Notamacropus eugenii: one gene and its partner. The protein of the gene in region 1 interacts with the protein of each later gene in a biochemical or structural test. Links are inferred from orthologs where the notes say so. Each region holds a gene or a part of one and is shown on either strand. Other genes may lie near its edges.

What was found.
Region 2: of the proteins of CHEK2 (region 1) and CDC25A, one has a biochemical effect on the other in vitro, tested with the Homo sapiens proteins (5 studies listed by BioGRID, with this or other methods). The link is inferred for Notamacropus eugenii from reciprocal best matches to the Homo sapiens genes CHEK2 and CDC25A.

The regions. Positions count from the first base shown.
Region 1 is NC_092875.1:17,009,335-17,019,973, reverse strand, and holds the start of CHEK2 (serine/threonine-protein kinase Chk2), read right to left. Parts: upstream 4,754-10,639; 5' UTR 4,670-4,753; intron 2,904-4,669; 5' UTR 2,899-2,903; coding exon 2,643-2,898; intron 1-2,642. Other genes in the region: iron-sulfur cluster co-chaperone protein HscB, read left to right, coding at 5,098-5,321, 6,094-6,193, 6,841-6,930. UniProt on the Homo sapiens protein: Serine/threonine-protein kinase which is required for checkpoint-mediated cell cycle arrest, activation of DNA repair and apoptosis in response to the presence of DNA double-strand breaks.
Region 2 is NC_092872.1:13,382,102-13,392,641, reverse strand, and holds the start of CDC25A (M-phase inducer phosphatase 1), read left to right. Parts: upstream 1-6,507; 5' UTR 6,508-6,582; coding exon 6,583-6,740; intron 6,741-7,827; coding exon 7,828-7,904; intron 7,905-9,371; coding exon 9,372-9,414; intron 9,415-10,037; coding exon 10,038-10,074; intron 10,075-10,540. UniProt on the Homo sapiens protein: Tyrosine protein phosphatase which functions as a dosage-dependent inducer of mitotic progression. Directly dephosphorylates CDK1 and stimulates its kinase activity. Also dephosphorylates CDK2 in complex with cyclin-E, in vitro.

The DNA of each region.
Region 1 (10,639 bases):
TCCCTGATCTGTGGAGTTTACTGCATTTACAGGAGCTAACCTGGGCCCCTGAACACCACATCCCCACTCAGGGTCTTCAGAGACAAAACAAAGGGGAGGCACTAAGGGCCAAGGGCAGGCCCATAGAGGATGCCACACTTGCAGTCCTGGGACTGAGGACTAAAGCAGCCCACATCCCTCCCTCATTCTACAAATGAGCTTTGACCCAAGGTCCCATAGGGAAGACAAGAACTTGAAGCCGAGGTGCCGGAGTCTCACCACAACACCACATGCAGGGGACGACAAGAGGACTTGATGCAAGCTTATTACTTGTCCAAAATGTCCATTTTTTACATGAGAAAACTACTCTCCAGGGCAGGTATCTCCCTCGTGATAATACAAGGTATTATGGTCTGGTGGAGAAAGAAGCAAACCTGCAGTCAAAAAGAGCTGAGTTCAAGTGCCACCACTACCATTTATGAGCTAGGAGACCATGGGCCCCTCCTGGGGAGGGGCAAAATCCTGTGTTCAATGCACTGACATAAGCCAAGGTGTGTGGATGGTGGTAAACGGCCCCATGGACAGCAGCTGGAGGAATGAAAGTTTGCCAACCTTGCCCAGGGTCCTGTCTGTGAGGGCGGCCTCACCTGGGCTTCCCCCAATCTCTGGCTTCTTGGGCCCTTGTCTTCAAGAACACGGAAGTGTAGAAAGAAGCCTTGGCTCAGTCCCAACGCCCCCTCAGCTCTTTCCTACATCTCCCCTTATCAGTTCTATCATCATGTACCTAAGCAATGGGTATATCAACACTCATGTAGTGCCTGTTGTATACCAGGTACTGTGCTAAGTGCTTTACAATTATTATCTCCTTCGATCTTTACAACAACCCTGGAAGGGAAGCGCTGTAACTATACCCATTTTACCAATGAGGAAACTGAGGCAGACAGAGGTTATTAAATGATCGCCCAGGATCACACAGCTACTACATGTGTGAGGCTGACTTGGAACCCAGGTCTTCTGCCTCCAGGCCCAGTGCTCTATCTCCTGCACCACCTTGCTTAAACAAGCACAACCTCCTGGACCCCTTCACCCTTTCCTTGGCTCTGACAACTCAGATCTCTGAGCAGCAATGACCCTTCCATCTTATCACCCACCCTTCCTTTAAGAAGTTCTCTTCTCCCTGGATCCCAAGACAAAGAACCTCTACACACAAACCTCCAGTCCTCTTTGATGTCTACACCTTCTCTTCCAACTTCCTAAGCATAATTGTTTCCCCCAAGGCCCAGTCTTCCCACCTCTACTCTACCCTCCCCCACACATTGTCTCCCTCTTCTTTCCCCCTCCCCCATACCTATTCCATTTTTAATGGGCCTCTTACTTCAAGTTAATGTCCCAAAGTCCATTGGTACCAGGAAAGGCCAGACTGAGGTAGCCTGGGTCCTATCCAAGCTTTTCATTTCCCTTTTCTAAACCTTGGCTTTTTCAAATGTAAAATGTCTGCCAGTTTTAGAGGGCATAGTGGGAAAAGCCCTATTCAAGAGCAGCCACCAGTGTGGGTTACTGTTATTGGGAGGCAGGCAGACAAAGGGGAAGGAATGAGGAACTTAAGTGTAAACCTCAGGGCAGATGGCCTGGCTAGGTAGGGGCCAATCCCCTCATCTATCTCAGGCTCAGGCCACAGAGACTGAGCCCTGCAACCCTAGGTGGGCTGGGATCTGCCACGGGACAATGGTTACTGATGAAAACACTGACTCTCTCTAGGTCAAAAACAGAAACCATCGTTTAACCACCACATAGCCCAACTGGAAGGAAATGCTTTATTAAACACCTACTATGTGCCAGGTACTTTGCATATATGATCTCATTTGATCCTCACCACAGCCCTGGGAGGGAGGTGCTGTTGTGACCCCCATTTCACAGTTGAGGAAACGAAGGCAAATAGAGGTGAAGTGACTTGCCCAGAGTCACCCGTCTAGTCAGGTCTGAGGTCTTCCTGGTTCCAGGCTCAGCACTGTACCTGCTGCACCACCTAGCTGCTCTTACAACAAAAAGGCAATGATGACCGCCATTTTCTCAAACATCTATGCTCAAAGTTGATCAAACTCATCTTTCATCTGTCCTTCTCCTTTCCCTCCTACTTCCCCAGGCAGACAGACACTCCCTAGCAAGGGCTGTGTAGGTATCCTTCCTTTTCATCTAAGCCCTCATCCCTTGATCTCCTTGAGCTGGATGACTCAACCACTACCAGCTAAAAGCTGGCCTCCCTAACTTCAGTCTCTCCCCACTCTAATTTACCTGGTTCTGTTCAACACGGTTCTCAACATATCACTCTCCTGATCAAAACCTTTCAATGGTTCCCTATTACCTAAAGGACAAAGTAACACATCCACCCTTTAAGTTACCACATGGACATGCTGACCATCATTTACAGCAGCTATCTCTGGAATAAGAATCACAGCTGTCAGGCTAATGGTCCTCCCACACCAGGGAAACTTACAATGACACTACAGATTCTGTCCAATAGGCTCACAGTCTTATCCCCAAATCCCTCCCAAAGTAGTAGGAACCTAGCACAAAGTTTTGGAGAACATATTTAAAAAAAAAATTCTCTACTAAATAAAAATTCTGCTCTGCCCCAGTCACACTTTTTAGTCTTATGGTCTTACCAAGGTTAGAGAATCCATCCTCGAGAGCCCAGAGCCGACCCCAGGGCTGAGGGTTGAGTTCTTCTGGTTCCTGATCCTCAGGAATGGAAGGAAGGTCCTGAGTAGGTACAGTGTCTAAGGAACTGATGGTCCCTGAGCTGGAATGGGAGGACTGACTGTGGGAGGTACCAGAGGAGGAGGAGCCGGAAGCATTCTGGGACTGGGACTGGGAGGCGCTATGTGACTGCTGTGAGTCACCTCCTGTCTCGCGGGACATCTTTGCTTCAAAAGAAAGGGAAAAGCAGCAAATATGAGTCTGGGTGCCCCAGACTTGGATAGTTATTGCGGTGGGAGAGGTGCAACTGTCAAAGTCTAGCATCCAAATACAGACAAAAAAAGAAACTATTCAAGCAAAACAAAAACTGTAAAATTAAATTTCTTAGGACTTGGAATTGGGATTAGTCATGTAAACTTAGCACTAGTACCATAAGAACAGTAATAACAAATCATAATAGAGATCGCTAGCATTTCTACCATGCTTTAAGATTTGCAAAGCACTTTATAGAGAGTAACTCATTTTATCCTCAAAACAACTGTGGACAGTGGTAGATATGATTATCCCCATTTCACGGATGAGGAAACTAAGCCAGACTAAAGTAAGGTGATTTGCCCAGGGCCAAATACCTGAGGCTGGATTTGAACTCAGGTCTTCCTGCCTCCAGACCTGGTTCTCCATTCACTAAGCCTCTACAGCCTAGCCAAACTGGCTGATTTATCCTTCAGATTTATCTTCAGATTCCATTTCCTACTGCTGGGCTTTGACCCAAGCTACCTTCCATCCCTGGAATGCTCTCCTCACTGCCATGTGCTCCATAAACTCCCCAGCTCCCTTCCCAGGGGAAGCTCTGCTGGGTCTTTCATTCCCTAACACCCCATCCCCCCCCTACCCTCCACACCTTACTTTGCCTCTACTTTGTATTTCATGGTACCTGGACATCTCCCAAGCAGGAGAAGCTCCTTGGGGCGGATCCAGCAGCGCCCAGCCCTTACTACATGCTAAGTCCCTTTTACACTGATTTTCTGACCGCAGGGCCCTGGAACCCTTTAATGATGAAGCCAATACAAGCACTTCTTTCAAGCTCTCCAAGCCTTCGAGAACATAGAAAGACTCAGCTGCAAGGGGTCTGCAGAGCCCATTTAGCAAAAAAGACTTTTTCAATCTTAAAGCACCAGAAAAATGCAAATTATTTTTAAGAGGCCCTACTCCCCCCACCTGGTCGGGCACAAGGCCTAGCCCCAAAGTCATCTTCCAGGGCAGCTTCTCAAACACTTCAGCTCCATCTGTTTGCATCCCTCTAGACCAGTCTGGCCAAGGACAGACAGATGGCTGAACTTGGGTCCTCCCTGACCGCCGGGTCTCTCCCGATGTCCCCGAGGGCTCAAGCTCTCTCTCTCCCTCTCTCTCCCTCTCCCTCCCTCCTCTCTCTCTCTCTCCCTCCCATCCCTCCCTTCTCTCTCCCTCTCTCTCCCTCCCTCCCTTTTCTCTCTCTCTTTCTCTCTCTCTCCCTCCCTCCTCTCTCTCTCCCTCCCTCCCTTTTCTTTCTCTCTCTCCCTCCTTCCCTTTTTTTCTCTCTCTCTCTCCCTCCCTCCCTTTTCTCTCTCTCTCTCTCCCTCTCTCTCTCTCTCCCTCCCTCTCCCTCTCTCTCTCCCTCTCTCTCTCTCTCCCTCCCTCTCCCTCTCCCTCTCCCTCTCTCTCCCTCCCTCCCTCCTCTTTCTCGGTCTCCCCCCCCATGCCCCCCGGGCCCCCGCGCCCTGCCCCCTGCCTCGCTCCACAGGCGCTCGGGCACGGCCCAGGGCGAGGACCGCCCTTCGGCTTGGCCCTCCGGGAAGTGGCAGCGCAGCCGGAGGATGCAGGCTGAGCACCCGCATGCGGGCAGGAGAGGACGGAGCCAATGGCCGGCCAGCCCGGGTCAGCGGGAGACGGTCAGATTGAGGCCTGGCTCTGATGTGGGAGGCGGCGGGGGCACCGTGGCCACGAGTCGGCTCACCGGGAGAAGGAAGGCCGGTCCCAGGGCACCAGCCGCAGGATCCTGACTCAGCCCGCTCCCTGCTCTGCCAGACCTGCACTGAGCTCCCGAGCCCGAGGCATAGGCTCGCGCGAAAGGCACAGGTACAAACCCCACCAATCAGCGATCCGAAAGAGACACAGAGCTTCTCTTCGACCAATTAGAAGCCCGCCGGATACGGAAAGGTCATGCCGCAAGACCTGCTGGGCCTTGTAGTCTGAGAAGACCTCACCGCACGAGACCTCAGGACTCTAGGCCCTCCCGCCCCGCCCACCTCCGCCCGAAACTCCGCCTCCGAGTTCCAGCAACCAATCAATTGGCTGCATTTGAGCCAGAACGCAGCCCACCCCCACCGCCCAGAGCCGGCTGTGGGGTGACCTAGGCAAGGGGCCGGTGTCGTCGTGAGTCAGATGTGGCGGGGCGCAGCCCGGGCCCTATGCAGGGTATGGGGGGCCCCGGGGAGGCCCTGCAGCAGCGGCCGCGGCAACGCAGCCTCAGCGCCCACGGGCGCCCCCTGCTGCTGGAACTGCGGCGGCCAGGGGGCGCACGCAGGCGGAGATCCGCAATTCTGTCCCGCCTGCCAAGCGCTGCAACCGCCCAGCCCCGACCCAGACTTCTTCCGCCTCATGGACTGGTGAGGGCTTCCCTGTGGAGGAGGGGACTGGGAACAAAAGGGCTGGCGGGGGGGCGGGGTCTGGAGGCACTGAGGCCTCTAGGGGGCGGGACATGGAGCTCGTGGGACCCAACAGGAGGGCAGGCAGGGGGCGGGGCCTGGAGGCACCCTAGCCTCCAAGGGGCAAGACATAGAGCCAGTGGGGCCTAAAAGAGGGGGAGGGGGGCAGGGGGCGGGGCCTGGAGGCGCCACAGCCTCCAAGGGGCGGGACATAGAGCCAGTGGGGCCTAAAACGGGGGAGGAGGCCGGGGGGGGGGAGGGGGGGGGGGTAGGGGGCGGGGCCTGACGCAGGGGGCGGGGCCTGGAGCTTGATGGATTGGGGGCGGGGCCTTGTGGTAGCCCCTCTGTGTGCTGAGCTGCAAGCTTATGCTAGAACCCCACGCAAGGGAAGCAGGTGCAGGAATGACACGGAATGACCCCAAAGGAGGCCTGGAGAGGCCAGGTCAGAACCTCTCCCCTCCCGCAAACCTAACCTAGTAATTGTCCAAAGTGATGGGGCAGGGTGGAGACTGGGACTGGAACCCAGGTCCTCTGACCTGATCTCACAGGTTCCCTACTTAAGCCAATCTTTGTGTTTCATTTCAATTAAACCAGCATTTATTTAGTGCCAACTATATGCAAGGCACCCCAAAGGGCTAATGATGGCATACAGACATAGCTGGTAACTGGTTTCCTGAGAGGTTGCTCTCTGGGCTCTCTATTCAGTCCTGCCCTCTCCCACCTTCCTCTCCAGTGGCCATTCCTTCACAGTGGATGTCCAGAATCTGAAGCGTCGATACCAGCACCTCCAGCGCCTGGTCCACCCTGATAACTTCAGCCAGAAGTCACAGGTAGTGGTGCAGGGCTTCCAGCACTCACCTTGGGGGTTTCACATGTTCACAGCAGTTAGAGCTGGAAGAGACGTCCAGAGACAGGAAGTAATGGGCTTCCAGCTAATCAATAGGTGAGCAGGGGTTGAGACGGTGACCTCTGGCCTCACAGCGGTCATAGGCTCCAGGACCCCAATGGCCCCTGGCTGAAATCTCACCCCTCAGCAAACTTTCTCTTGCACTTTGAAGGTGACATCGAAAGGCTTCCCCCAGACTTGGGCTTTGAACAGTGAGGTCAGCTCAGCTCTGATCACCTGTGCTCTTGCCTGCTCTCTCTGAGCACTGCTACACAATAATTAAGGGGATGGACAGCGTGAAAATCAGTGTGCAGAGACACCCTCCTCCATTGTGTATGGATACTTTATTTCTGACTATAGCCACTTATATAAGATGACAGTAGGCAGCCCCAAGATTGAGCTTGGGAATGGGATAGCACAGATCCCCAGAGGTCATTTCTAGTACATCTTTTGTTTTGCAGGAAGTGAGCTCCTTAAGACCAGGGATCATACCACACACATAGTGGCCCCTTGATAAATGTTTATTGGATTTTTGACGGCATTAGTGCTCCTTGGGGGCCCATAACAACAGCTTCTTTCCTCTCCTGCTGACAGACTGAGAGGGACTTCTCAGAACAGCATTCCACGATGGTGAACGAAGCCTACAAGACCCTGCTGACCCCACTGAGCCGAGGCTTATATCTGGTAAGCTGCTTTCTAACCTAGCCAAATGCTCACAACAACCTGTGAGCAAAGTCCAACGAGTGTTTATGGAGATGGGAAGGTTAACGGTAAGTTAACTGAGTCAGGTCCCAGATGCTGGGAAGCATTGAAGACAGGATCCAAGCCAGGTCTTCCTGATGCCAAGTCTGGCCCTCGTTGCCCTGTGCACCTCCCCCTCCAACCCCCTCCATGGTTGATATGATTGGTTTTCCTGCTCTGTGGCTTCCTGGATCTCCCTGACTTTGCCAGGCAGCAGAACTGGCTGGCTGTCTGTTCCTCCATTCACACAACAGCATCAGAAGATAGCTGTTTGGCCCCATGAGGAAAGTTCAGAGATGCACCAGGACACAGAGCCAGAAGACCCTTGGGGGCTGTCCAGCACAGCAACTGATGTCTGGCCAAGACTGGATGAGGGGGCGGGGTGTAGCCTGTGTGGGAAGGCCCCCACAGAAGGGGCAGCCATAGCCCAGGTACAACAGGCACTTCCCTGGAGCAGTTCTCATTGGGTGGGAGGCTTTCCCCACAATTAGCATAAAGGCCTCTGGTGACTTGTGCCTTTGGGCCCCGCATCTGCCAGCTTCCACTGAAGAGCCTTCAAGTTCTTGGAGACAAATCTTCCATTACCCCACTCTTCTCCCAGGCATGTTAACTGTCTCCAGTATCTTCAGACTGTTGCTTCATGGCATACGCTCAAGAGCCTTCAACATCCTCCGTGCCCTCTTTGTATGCTCTCCAGCTTGTCAGGCTCCTTCCAAAAACATCACACCAGAACTGTCTCCTAGGGAGACACCACAGTGCACAGAGCACCAGGCCTGGAGTCAGGGAAACCTGAATTCAAATCCAGCCGTAGACATTTATGAGCTGTGCCACTATGGACAAATCACTTCACCTCTGTCTGCCTCAGTTTCCTCATCTTTCAAATGGGGGTAATAACAGCCCTTGCCTCTTACAAACCTTAGAGCACTGTCTTATGATGATGATTATAGTGGCCTGGGGTGGGCAGAGCATAAGGAGACTCTCACCTCTTTCTTTACCCCTCCATGGATGCCTGTCTTCATCCAGTTTAAGATTGCAAGAGTTTTCTTAACTGCTGCATCTCACTGGCAACCCATGATGTTTGCCTTCCGCTGAAATGCAAGGAGAGGATCTTGGGAAGATGGCAGAGTAGGTCTGAAAATTCCAAGCTCTCCAGATTTCCTCCACAAACAAAACAAAACAGTACCTCAGGGTGAACATAAGAGTGGCAAAAATAAACAGGAGATTGGGGCAGATCAGTGGTCTTCCTGGGACAACTAGAGAAGATCCAAAGAAAGACTGCAGGACTGAGGTTGGGAGGTTCTACCTGAGTGAAGTGTAAACACCTCTAGAATGTCTCTGCTGAAACAACAATCCACAAAGCCTTGGTGACAGCTGGGTTGAGAGGTGGCCCCAGCCTCAGTCACAGGCATTCTCACCTCACAGATAGCAGGGCGGGGGAGGAGAGGGGTCAGACATCCTAGTAAGGAAAGATTGAAGGAACTTCTGCTGCTAAGGGACTCCAGGCCCAATTATGCTACCAAGACATGGTCCTGGGTGGGAAGAAACCAGCAGCGACCTGTTAATGCAGAAGCAGTGAGGTAGGATGCTGCTGTTTGTGAGCACTTACAGGAAAGCCAAGTTCTTGGTTGTGATTCTAGGCCAGAGGGGAGAACTGGAGGTTATATAGCCACTGGAGGGTCCACAAAGAGCAAGTGCATTTCCAGCATAGTGTGCATAGGGGTGCCTGGCTGTGGTTTGGAGCAGGAAAGGAGTGCAGACTTTGGGCACAGGACAAATTTCAAAAAACAATAGTAAGAGGGACCAGAGACACCATCCCCCACACCCCAGGACTAGAGGTGATTATAATAACAAGCTGTTAAAAATAAAACAAAACAAAAATGAGGAAGCAAAGGAGAAAGAACCCAACTATAGACAGTTACAATGGGAAGAGAGAGGACCAGGCTTCATCTTCAGAGGAGGATACCAAAGCAAAAAAGCCTCTCCTACCTCACAGAGTAACATCAAATGGTCACCTGCCCAAAAAGAATTCTTAGGATTCAAAAAAGACTTTAAAAATCGAATCTGAGAAATTACAGAAATTGTTTTTAAAAAGAATAAGAACAATCCAAGAATTCCAGGAAGATTATGAAAAGAAAGTCAGCCAAGGAAAAAGAGATCCAGAATCTGAAGGAAGAAATCAACTCCTTGAAGACTGGAATTGGGCAAGGGGAAGCCAACAGTGTTATAAGAGACCAAGAAATAATAAAGCAAAATAAAAAGAATGAAAAATAGAAGAGGATGTGAAACATCTCATAAAAAAAACAGCTGATCTGGAGAGCAGATCAAGAAGAGAAAAAATAAAAATAATCACACTACCTGAAAGCTAAGATCAAAAAAAAGAATCCTGATGCAATAATACAAGAAATAATCAAATAAAATTGCCCTAAAGTCTTAGAACAAGAAAGTAGAAATAGAAAAAAAAAATCCACTTTTTACCACCTGGAAGAGATCCCAGGATGAAAACCTACAGGAATATCATAGCCAAATTCCAAAATCCCCAGGTTAAGGAGAAAATATTACAAGTAACAAGAAAAACAAAATTCTAATTGTGTGGAGCCACAATTAGAATTAGTGGCTAAATTAAAAGATCACAGTTCTTGAAACACTATATATCAAAAAAGAAAAGAATTGGGGTTACAGCCAAAAATATCACACCCAACAAAGCTAAGTGTAATCCTGAACAAAAAGAAAATGGCTATTCAATGAATTGGCAGACTTTCAGGATTTTGTCTCAAAAAGACCATAACTTATTAGAAAATTTAACATACAAGATCCAGGAAAAATATAAGGTAAACATCAGAGACCAATTATAAGGTACATAATAAGGACAAATTGTTTTCTTTTTATATGTGGAAATATAAACTGTATGCATAAGATTGCCATTAATAATTGGGTAGTTTGAAAGAAAGATTGAGGTAGAGTTGAGTATGATGTGATTCCAAAAAGCCAAATATGGGGAAACATTAAAAGAGTAATTATCTTATACAAATGAAAGGCGAGAGAAGCACTGATACAGAGGAATCAGATGGGGGAGTGGGGCTGGTAGTGCTGGAGCCCTACCCACATCAGATCTGGGTTAAAGAGAGGACAACATAAACATTTAGAAGAATATGCGTCTTCTAAATTTATGAAGAAATAAGAGGGTGAAGGAACAGGATAAGGTCAGTTATAGAAGGGTGTGTAGATTAACAGGAATGAGGTAAAGAGGGAAATGTATGTGTATACACACATATAGCATGTGTATCTATGTATGTATGTATGTTTAAAAGTCTTCTAAATTCAGAAAGAAACAAGAGGGCCAAGGGATAGGTCGGGGGAGGAGGGAGAAGACAAGGAGGGGATTCATGGGGGGTTAGGTTAAAGAATAGGAGGGAAGGGTAGCAGGTAGAAATAAAGTAGAGGAGTGAAGAGGGTCACAGGAAGAGGGTGGAAAGGATAGTGAGGAAAAACAGGAAGAAGGAAAATATACAAGTAATTATAGCTTAGAATGTGAATGGGATGAATTTACCCATAAAATGGAAACTGATAGCAGATTAAAAATTTGAATTCAACAACATATTGCTTTCAGGAAATGCTATTAAAATGATACACACAAACATAAAATAGAGATCAG
Region 2 (10,540 bases), on another chromosome or scaffold:
TTCATATAAATATCATTTTAAATTTGTCTACAATCTATTAATATGTCAAGTAAAATTTTCATTCATTCATCATCCAAGGATGGAAAAGATATGTCAAATAGGTTGTAAATACAATTTAATTTATTGTAAATTTCAGGAAAATATTCATTAAAATCACCTCCAAAAATTCTATATGTCCACTGATGTCTTTCTTGGTAACCTGATCCAAAGACAGTTATTTCTTCATCAGAAAACTCCTTGTTCATATCCTTTGACCGTTTGTCAACTGGCAAATGATTCATATTCATATATGTTTGACAAAGTTCTTTATAAAATTTAGATATGAGAACTTTATCTGATAAACTGGCTTTAATTTTTTTTCTAATTTTCTACTTTCCTTCTGATCTTGGCTTTGTTTTATTTACACAAAATCTTTTTAATGTAATGTAATCAAAATTATCCGTTTTATACCTACCTTTGCACTTTATCTCTTGTTTATTCATAAATTGTTCACCTATCCATGAGTCTGCTAAGTAATATGTTCCATGTTCTTCTAATTTTCTTGTAAAATCTCTCGTTATATCTAGGCCGCACATCCATTTTGACATTATCCTGATAAATAGCATAAGATATTGGTCTATGCCCAGTTTTTTTTTTTCATTTTATTTTTCAGTGAAAGGAGCAGAACCAGGAGAACTTTGTGCACAGCAACGACCACAGTGTGCGAGAGTTTTTTCTGGTAGACTTGGAATTTTGTAATAACGCAAAAACTTCTTATAAAAAAAAAAAAATCCCAAAGGTGGTTCTCAAGGCAAAATGCCTTCCACACTCAGAGAAAGAAATATGGAAGTCATTCACAAAATGTAGCAGATCATGTTTGTGTATGTGTATGTGTTTGTGTATCATGTTTTGATTTGTTATAGGATTTCTTTCATTTATTTTAGTCTGACTACATAGCATGACTATAGTGAAAATGTACTCAATAGGAAAGCATATGTAGAACCTATACAGAATTGTATGCAGTCGTGGGGAGGGAGGGGGGTAGTGGGGGGTAGGTGTGGGGGGGATAAAATCTCAATTGTATGGCAGTGATTGTTAAACATTAAAAAATAATTTTAAAAAAGACTAAAATAAAAAAAACAATTTATTTTTCATTTTTAACACAGTTTATAACAGATAAAACAATTCAAGCTTTTGGTCAGGTGATACTTCTTTTTAAAGCATTTACAATATGGACCACAAAAGAATTTTTTAGACATTAACCAACTGAGACACAAATAATATTTTATGTTGCTAACTTCACACTCTCTTGACCTAATTGTCTCCAGAGTATTAGTAAGAATTAAAGGACCCTAATTTATTGTTGTTGGTCTAAAGTCCTAAGTCTAATAGCTTAATTTTAGACTTAACCTCGGATGTTCCCCTACCAATAATCTATAATTGAATAGATCTGGTATTAAGCTTACAAACCTTTTGACTATAGGAAATTGCCATCAAGAGTAGGGGCATTGCAGGGATATAATATCTCCCCAACTTCATGTCAATTTCAGGCAGGAGTAGATTGTCCACTTGCATTCAGTCAGGCTTCAAGTCTACCAGGTGTCAGTGGAGAAACTGAGTCAGGAGAATCCTACCTCAGCCCAGGCTGAACAGCCGCTCTCCCACCCTTCCCTTGAGATCACCTATGCAGTTCATACCAGCATCTCACCAGCTTACTGGCATCATGGATTGGAGGCTCAGACCGCCTTTCTTGCTATCCATATCTGCAGTCAGACTAAGAAGAACAGTCGCTAAATAGTCCCATAGCATCTAAAAATGGCAAGTTCCAATAACCAGGTTTCAAACATGATTATAATTCCACTTTGGCTAAGGAACATCTTTTGAGGCAAGTCTTAAGTGGCTTACACGCCTTTCTATACATGTTCTAGTTCCTGATTAAATAGAAATCATAAAATCAAATTTAAAACCTTAACTCTATGCCCAGTTTCTACCATACTGCTTTCCAATTTTCCCAAAAATGTTTACCAAATAATGAATTCTTATCCCAAAATCTTAGGTCTTTGCATTGGTCAAATATAAAGTTATTGGGTTGATTTCTCCCTGTAAATTGTATGTCTGCTCTATTCCATTGATCTACCTTTCTATTTCTTAGCCAGTACCACATAATTTTGATAGTGACTGCCTTATAATATAGTTTGAGATCTTCCTTCCTTAACATTTTTTCATTATTTCCTTTGATATTCTTGACTTTTTGTTTTTCCAAACGAATTTTGTTATGATTTTTTCTAATTCAGTAAAAAAAATTTATGGTACTTTAATTGGGATGGCATTGAATATGTACATTACTTTGAGTAAAATTTTTATCTTTTTTATAATATTGGCCCTGCCTACCCATGAACAATTAATATTTCTCCAATTATTTAAAGCTGATTTTATTTATATAAAAAGTTTTTTTATAATTTGGTTTATATGATTCCTGGGTTTGTTTCAGCAAGTGTACTCACAGGTATTTTATGCTGTCTAGACTCTAGACTCTAGAGCTATTTTAAATGGGATATCTTTTACTATCTCATCTTACAGAATTTCATTTGTGACATATAGGAATGCTGATGATTTACATGGATTTACTTTAGAACTTGTTACTTTGCCAAAATTGTTCATTGTTTCAATTACTTCTTTAGTTGAGTCTTTGGGATTTGACATGATAGTTTCTAATTGCTATAAAAACAAACCCATAATGTTTCAAACATGCACATATATGTTATCACAAAGGAAAAAATATATTTGCAACACAACTGGGCAATTACTAACTGCTTAAGGTGATATTAAAGATTTTGTTTTACACCTGGGACCATCATCACAAACCACTAAATGGGAAATAGGAACTACTAGACTAGATGACTTTAAGGCAACACCATTTCCATAGTAGAAGCTAGATAAAAGTTTACTTTTATCTTTACTTTTACTTTACTATCCCTCTGATCTTAAATTAATAGGATCATAGGATTAAGAGCTAGAAAAACCTTTGTAATTATCTGATCACATCTTGAACTAGATATTCCTTAAACACCCTAAACTCATCATGTAAAACGAAGGTTTTATTTTTTATTTTTTTATTATTTTATTTGTTTTCAGTGTTCTACAATCACTTCCATATATCTTAGATTTTTCCCCTCCCTCCCTTCTCCTCCTATCAGGTTTTATTTTTTTTTAATGAATTTTTATTATTTTTTTTGTTTTGCCCAATAGCTAGATATCTCCCAAGGCTCTAAACTGAGTCCTCTTCTCTCTACACTATTTCTCTTAAAGATCTCATCAGCTCCCATAGATTCAATTGTCTCTATGCAGATGATTCTTAGATTTACTTATGCAGCCCTAAGCGCTGTCCTGACTTCTAGTCTCTCATTTCTACAGTGTGTTTGTCCTTCATTGTCGGAGACCATGCCATCAGAGAAATGATTTCTCTGCCTGTTGGACATCTAGATGTCCTGTAGATAACTTAAACTCAACATGTCTAAAAATGAACTTGTTGCCTTTTTTCTAAAACCTTCCCCTTTTCCTAACTTTCCTATTTCTATAAATTACTGTTACTACCCTATTACTTTAAAGTTTACTGCTACTACCATCTTCCCAATCACTCCAGCTCACAAACAACCTAGGTGTTATTGTTACTCCTCTCTCTCTCTCTCTCTCTCTCTCTCTCTCTCTCTCTCTCTCTCTCTCTCTCCCTCCCTCTCTCCCTCTCTCCCTCTCTCCCTCTCTCCCTCTCTCCCTCTCTCCCTCTCTCTCTCATTCTATATTCAATCTGTTGCCAACTCCTATTTTTACTGATTTTACCTTTATGGTCTCTTGTATATCCCCTTCTGTCCTCTGACACTGACACTGATGAGGTGCTTGTGCTTGGACCCCAAATTCAAGATCACATTTCTCCCTAGTTTCAAAACACTATCCCTGACAGTTTTCTTGAGTGGGCCCACCTAAGACAAACTACCTTTCCCCTCAATTACTCATGGGTGGGCCCCAGTAAGACAAACTATCTTTCCCCATTACAAGAACAAGCTGACCTCTGAAGAAATTCCCTTGTAAAAACAGGACTCTCTTGTAACCACAGAATTATCATGTATTGATTCCCACAGTTATCATATACAATCCAGAGATCAAGCTATAGACATCAACTCTCAAAGCTATCTTGCCACAGACACAATAGACCAAAAATACACCTCCTAGAAACTCCTTCCTCTAGTATCCAGTAATGAATGACTCCTGTGACCAAGGTTGTATGTTATCACTTTCTGCCAGATAATCCACTACTTTTCCTAAATAAGCTTTAGCTCACTCCTGTTAAGTTGCGGAGTTAGTTCCTTAAGGAGCTCTGCCTACCATATTGGCATTACAATAAACCTTTGTCAACTTGACTTAAAGAATGCTTGAGTCCATGAATTCATTCTAGATGACCCTTTCGGGTACTTCAGTCCTTGAGGGGTCCCTGAACCTCTAAAACCCACATTAGCACCACCCTGGTGAAAACCCTCATTACCTCATGCCTGAACTATTGCAGTGCCCTGCTGGTTGGTCTCCCTGCCTCACTTTTCATCCTCCATTCAACTTCCAAAGAAAACTTCCTGAAGAACAATTCTGATCATACCCCTCCTCCCTCCATACACACATATACATCCAATTTAATAAATTCCCGCGCTTCCCTATCACCTCCAAGATCAAATATAAAATCTTCTGTTTGGCTCTTAAACCCCTTGATAACCTGGCCTCTTCCTGTTTTTCTAGTTTTCTTTCATCATACTCCTCTCCATATATTCTGTGATCCATTGACACTGGCTTCCTTACTGTTCCTCTCATAAAACTCAGTCATTTTCACTGATTGTGTCCAGGTCTGGAACTCTCTTTGTCCTAGTCTCCACCTCCGGGCTTCCTTCAAGCTTCACCTAAAACCCCACCATTTGCATGAAGCCCTCCTTGATCTAATACTTTCCCTCTGGTATCATCTACAACTTATCCAGCGTTTCTTATTTGCATATGCTGTACATTGTCTCTACCTTTAAATTGAGCTGCTTGAGGGCTCAAGCAGAGATTGTCTTTTACCTTCCTTTGTATCTCAGGCACTTAACACAATGCCTGGCACACGTTGTTAGTCATGCCCAACTCTTAGTGAGCCTGCGGACCATAACGCAACAATGCCACACATTCCTGGCAAGGATACTGGAGTGGTTTGCCATGTTATCCTCTAGTGGACTAAGGCAAACAGAGGATAACTGCCCAGGGTCACACGACTACTAAGTTTCCAAGTGCAGATCTGAACCCAGGCCCTCCTGACTCCAACGCCCAGCCTGAGGTCCTTGATAAAGAACTGTTTGTTGACTCAACGCTGACAGTTAAGTGGCAGAGCCAGATTCTGACTTGGGTGCTGAGAGCCAAAGCCGGGGTTGACTCCACTACATTATGAGGTCCCTCTGGACTCCACATTTTATTCAAAACCTCTAGAGTGTGGAAACGCAGGCCCAGAGCTGGCTTTTGTCCTACAAGTGGCTTTCTGCCTGCCCTTGGCCAAAGGGCCCAGGCCTCCTCCAGCTCAGGCATTCCTTGGGCTTGTTTTCTGGGGGTCTCCAGGGACTCCCCCACTTTGTTAGAACTTTGTCTTTATCCAAAGCATGGCTGAGTACTTCTTCAGCTGCCAGGCTGCTGGGGGCAGGGGAGAAGGCTCCTCCCTGTGGGCTCCAAGGCCCACATGCTTCTGACAGCAGAGCCAGTGACCAAAGCAAGAGATGCCCCCACCCCTCATCTTTACAGCCATCTTATGGTCATCCAAGAGCAAAACATCCTCGGGCCAATGTGGAAATTAAACTTCTAGGCTGCCAGGGAGGCGTAGAGAGAAAAAAGAGAAATCCAAGCTAGCGGCCACGAGGAACTACAACTCCCAGAATGCAGCGTCAGTTCCGCCGGACTGGGCGGTTCCTTTGGCTAGCTTGCGTGGCATGCTGGGAGCCGCCGCTTCCACACATTGGATCTCATTCTCCTTCTCCTTGTTCGCCCTTCCCCCACCCCTACTTCCGCTTCTCGACTTTGGCCCCGCCTCCTCTAGAGAGGCTTAGTGACGGAGCGGGTCTCCGACAGTCTCCCCTCCTTGAATTTTTATTGGTTAAGCTCGGCTGCCGTTCAGGGGGTGGAACGGAGGTCCCGTTTTCTGATTGGTGGCTTGGGTTTGGCGCCAACTAGGAAAGGTGGGCGGGGCAGCAGCGGTACTCTGCGAGCGGCTCCTGCGACACCCCCGGGCAGCTGGGCAGGAGGTCCGCCGGGGGCTGCCGCGGTCCCGCTCCCCGCTCTCCGCCGCCGCCGCCGCCGCCGCGTCTGGGCCGATCGGGCCCGCGCCCCCGGCCCGAGGTCCGCCGGCCCTGCGCCCGCCCGGCTTGTTTGGGTTTAACCCTCGGCTTGGCGCGGCCCCGGAACCCCCGGCGTGGGCATCGCTCGCGGCCTGCCCTCGGGCCGTGTTTGTGTTTGACCGCGGGCCGGGCCCGCGCTCCGGGAGGCGGTGGGGGCGGCGCGGCGCGGGGCGAGGAGAGAAGAGAGGCGGCGCCGCCGCCGCTGCTCCGGATGGAGCTGGGCCCGGAGCCCCCGCACCGCCGCCGCCTCCACTTCGCCTGCGGCTCTCCGCCCGCCGTGGTCAAGGCCCTGTTCCCCGCCGGCCCCGGGGGGCTGTCCCCGGTCACCAACCTGGCGGTCACCATGGACCAGCTGCGGGGCCTGGGCAGGTGAGAGAGGCGGGGCGGCCTGGGCCCTCCCGGAGCCCCCCCGGCCCCGTCATTCCTGGGCAGCGCCCCCGGGGAGTGACCTTGGCCAAGTCACTGCCCCTCCTGGGTCTCGCTGGGCCGGCTCATCGCCCAGTCCGGGCTCCGAACCTATGCGGCACATACGTTCTGCCCCGTCGCACCTGCCCTCCTGCTCCTCATAACCACCCCTCCCTACAATGGGCTGATTTCCAGCCTCCTGTCCTTTACCCCACCTTCCTTCCCTCTTCCTTCTCCCCGCAGTGTGCACCATACTTCAGACTCCACAGTCCCCCCAACAACGTCCATTCTTCTCCAACCCCCCATCCTGCTCCCCTTTCCTTCACTCCACTGCCCCCTCCAGCCTTCCCCATCACCACCGCCTCCTCGTTCCGGCTCCTTCTCACCGCCTCCCTCATACCTCCATCTCCGCCAGCTCTCGGCTCCCCCAGCTTTCCCATGCTCTAAAGCCTCCCCACCCCTCTCTCTACAGGCCTTGAGCAGGGTCTCCAGGGGGAGCCTTCCGTTTCCGTCTTTTAGGCACATGGCTAAGTTAGCCACAGCACCTTGCCTGTGGCCCAGGCTCGGCCCCTGGCCTCCATGTTGCCAGGGGCCTGGGTGGTTCCGCAGCGCCCCAGTAGGTCTGAGAGATGCTTGGGAGGAGGCTGAACAGAAGGCTTGTCCCTCCTTAGCCACACCACCCTCTTGCTTCCTTGCCTTGGACTCCTTTCAGTTTCTGGAATACTAGTTTCCATTGTAACCTTGTTCTGAATTTCCCTCAAATAAGCATGCAACCCCACAAGAGTAAGGAGGTACTCCTTCTGGAGGTGGAGGGCCGGGGGCCTGGGTGGCATTAAGAGCTTTGAATCCCACCGGGCCTTAGGTGCTGTGCTGGAGAGGAGTTGTGGTTGCGGGAGGTGGTCCTTGTGGGACAGCAGGTAGGGCCAAAAAGCTGTTAAATAGCTTGATGTTTTCCCTCTGTCTCACGGTGACTCATAGTCCGTGGAGAAGAGGAGTTGTTCTTATCAGATTCCAAAACTGCATGTAAAGAATGGTTTGGTTTTGTGTGCAGTGAATGTGAGCATCAGCTGGAAACAAAGAAGAGCGGCAGCCTGCAGCGGACAAGCTCCTCAGAGTCTACAGATTCAGGTATTCTTTCATTCTACGCATAACAGATATTTGTTGTATGTGCCCACTGTGCTGGGGGAGGCCTTGGGAAGGAGACGAGATACAACAAGCCCCTCTTTTTCATGAAGCTTCTAATTTAATACAGGAGGCACATGTACATAAGTAATTGAAAGGTAAGACAGTATGTGATAAGTGCCATAGAAATAGTATAATATGAATTATTGCAGTGTCTGAAAACAGGTTAATTTTCAGTAGGAATAAATGGAGATTGGAGTAGAGTGACCCTCCAGACAAAGGGAATGAATGGTGTAATCAGAGGCTTGTTGAATGTTAAAGGAAGGTAGGAAAGGACAAGACAGGTCCTGGGAATAGTAAGTGGTTCATTTGGTTGAAGTGGGGGGGTATGTAGAAGAGTACCTGGAGGAAAGTTTGATTCTCTTCAGATTTCCAGTGTGCATGGTTATCTCTTACCACTTGGAAGGAGAAGAGGGAAGTGAAAAATGGTTTGAGGGTAAGTAGTATGCAGATTCCATTGTGACTGAATGCCCAGAAAATAAAAGTTGCCTGGGGGCTGGTGAGTCCAGGCTACTCCGAGGTTGGTATATAAATTATATTAAACCTCTAAGATCTTCTGTCTTTGGGGAGCAAGAATTCCTTGTTAGGTGCCATTTTCTTAAACATAAGTCAGAAACCTACCAGATCTCTTCGCAGTGGCTCTAATTTGTATTTGTTCCTGTTACCCATGGATAAATTGATCTGAATTAGAGATTGGTGCCTTTTGACCAGATGCAGTCTACTTGCAGCAGGGCTGATCAAGTACTTGCCATCTGAGAGGGAGATGACATGGATATTAACCATAAACCAGATAATCCCTACCTGAATACTCAGAAGATGGTTTAACAATTCATCTAGCCTACTTTTCCCTTAAGTCTTATTTCACTGATGGTAACTCCAGAGCAGAGGGAAGCATTATGTCTCCTTCAAAGGCAGCTAGATTGGTAAAGTAAATAGAGCTCTGGACCTGGGGTCAGGAAGACCTGAATTCAAGTCTGACCTCAGATGACCTTGAACAAGTCACTTAACCTCTGTCTGCCTCAGTATCTTATTTGTAAAATGGAGGTGATAATAATAGCACTTACCTCCCAGGGTTGTGGGATAACATGCCCTATATGAACACTAGCTTTTATGTCAGAATCCATGTAAAGTGCCGCCACACACCCCACTCCATACACACATACAACCTGAACCAATCTGGAGTCCGTCACTGTAGGCTGATTGCCTCAAAAAACAGATACTGAGTCTCAGGTAATTACAAACCATGTTCACCCTGAAGTTCCTGGGGTAGCCCACTGGCTTCTTAAAAGTTTGAAATGATTTCAAATGAGATGTTTAGAGTTAATAATAAAAGAAATTAAGCTATAAAAACAATTTACAAAACCTCTGGATCACAATGGCCGTGTAGTAAAGACTTTTTTTGTGCCCCAATAGGTTTTTGTCTGGATTCTCCTGGGCCCCTGGATAGAAAAGAAAAGTATGTATTTGCTTCTTTTAATTTTTTTTTTTAAATACCAAATGAGAATATTATTAGAATCCTGATTGACTAGGAATCTGGACTAAGATGTCCCACGTGAATGCTGTTGCACTCACTCTTGTTTTTTATCATACACTAGCTTACTTTAGTTTTAAGTGTAAGTATTCAAATCTCTCATGTTCCTGTCCTGTAGCATAATTCTTGCCTTTAAGGAAGGAATTCATAACCTGGGATCCATGAACTTTAAAAATATTTTTACCATTTTAAAAAATATATCTTGTTAAACTATTTCAATATTTCTTTGAGATCCTATTTATTTTATTTTGTGCATTTCAAAACCTTTTGAAAGGGGGTTCATAATCTTTGCCAGTTTGTAGAAGTGGTCTATAACATACAAAAGTTTTTAAACCCCAGCTTCATGGGAATGTGTTGAAGAGAATATTTTGTTCGAACCCACTTGGTTTCCCTAGAAGCTTAAAGTATTTTGGGTTGGGTGAATTTGGGAAAATGATGTTCTTTCTGCAGACATTTAGGTAAGTGGGTTTGCCTTAAAGGAAAGAATTGGTTGCCAATCAATGTTGAATTACTTAACTAACTTCATTTGCTCTCTGTTCTTATTGTAGCCTTGAAAAACCCATGAGGAGAATAAACTCCCTGCCAGTAAGTTCTTTTTCTTTCTTTCAGTATTACTGATCTGGAGCTTAAATTTTGTTGTGTTCACCAAGGATAATTTTGTAGGGAAAGAAGTGACCGTGTTACAAATTTCACTGCAAATAAATGTTTGCAGTTGGCAAAGAGCCATCTCATGTTCCCATAGAGAAAGGAAAAGAAGAACTTCTCATCCAAGAAATCTTCAACAGAAGTGGACGCCTAAGTCTTAGCCCTTTTTCACTTCTATTTACATGTGTTCTAGCTCAAACCAGAGGTGACTTTTCTTTTCCAATGAAATTATAGTACCTTGAATTGTCCAAGTAGAGAAGTCTGGGACGGTTATTACCAAGTATGTTTTTATCAAAACATAGAGAAGAAATTAATTTTCTCTGTTTTTTTTCCCTTGATAGTGGCCTAAAGATTATGAAATAACTGTTTAGATTATTTCTAGTTAGCTATGTTTTTCTTTGAATAG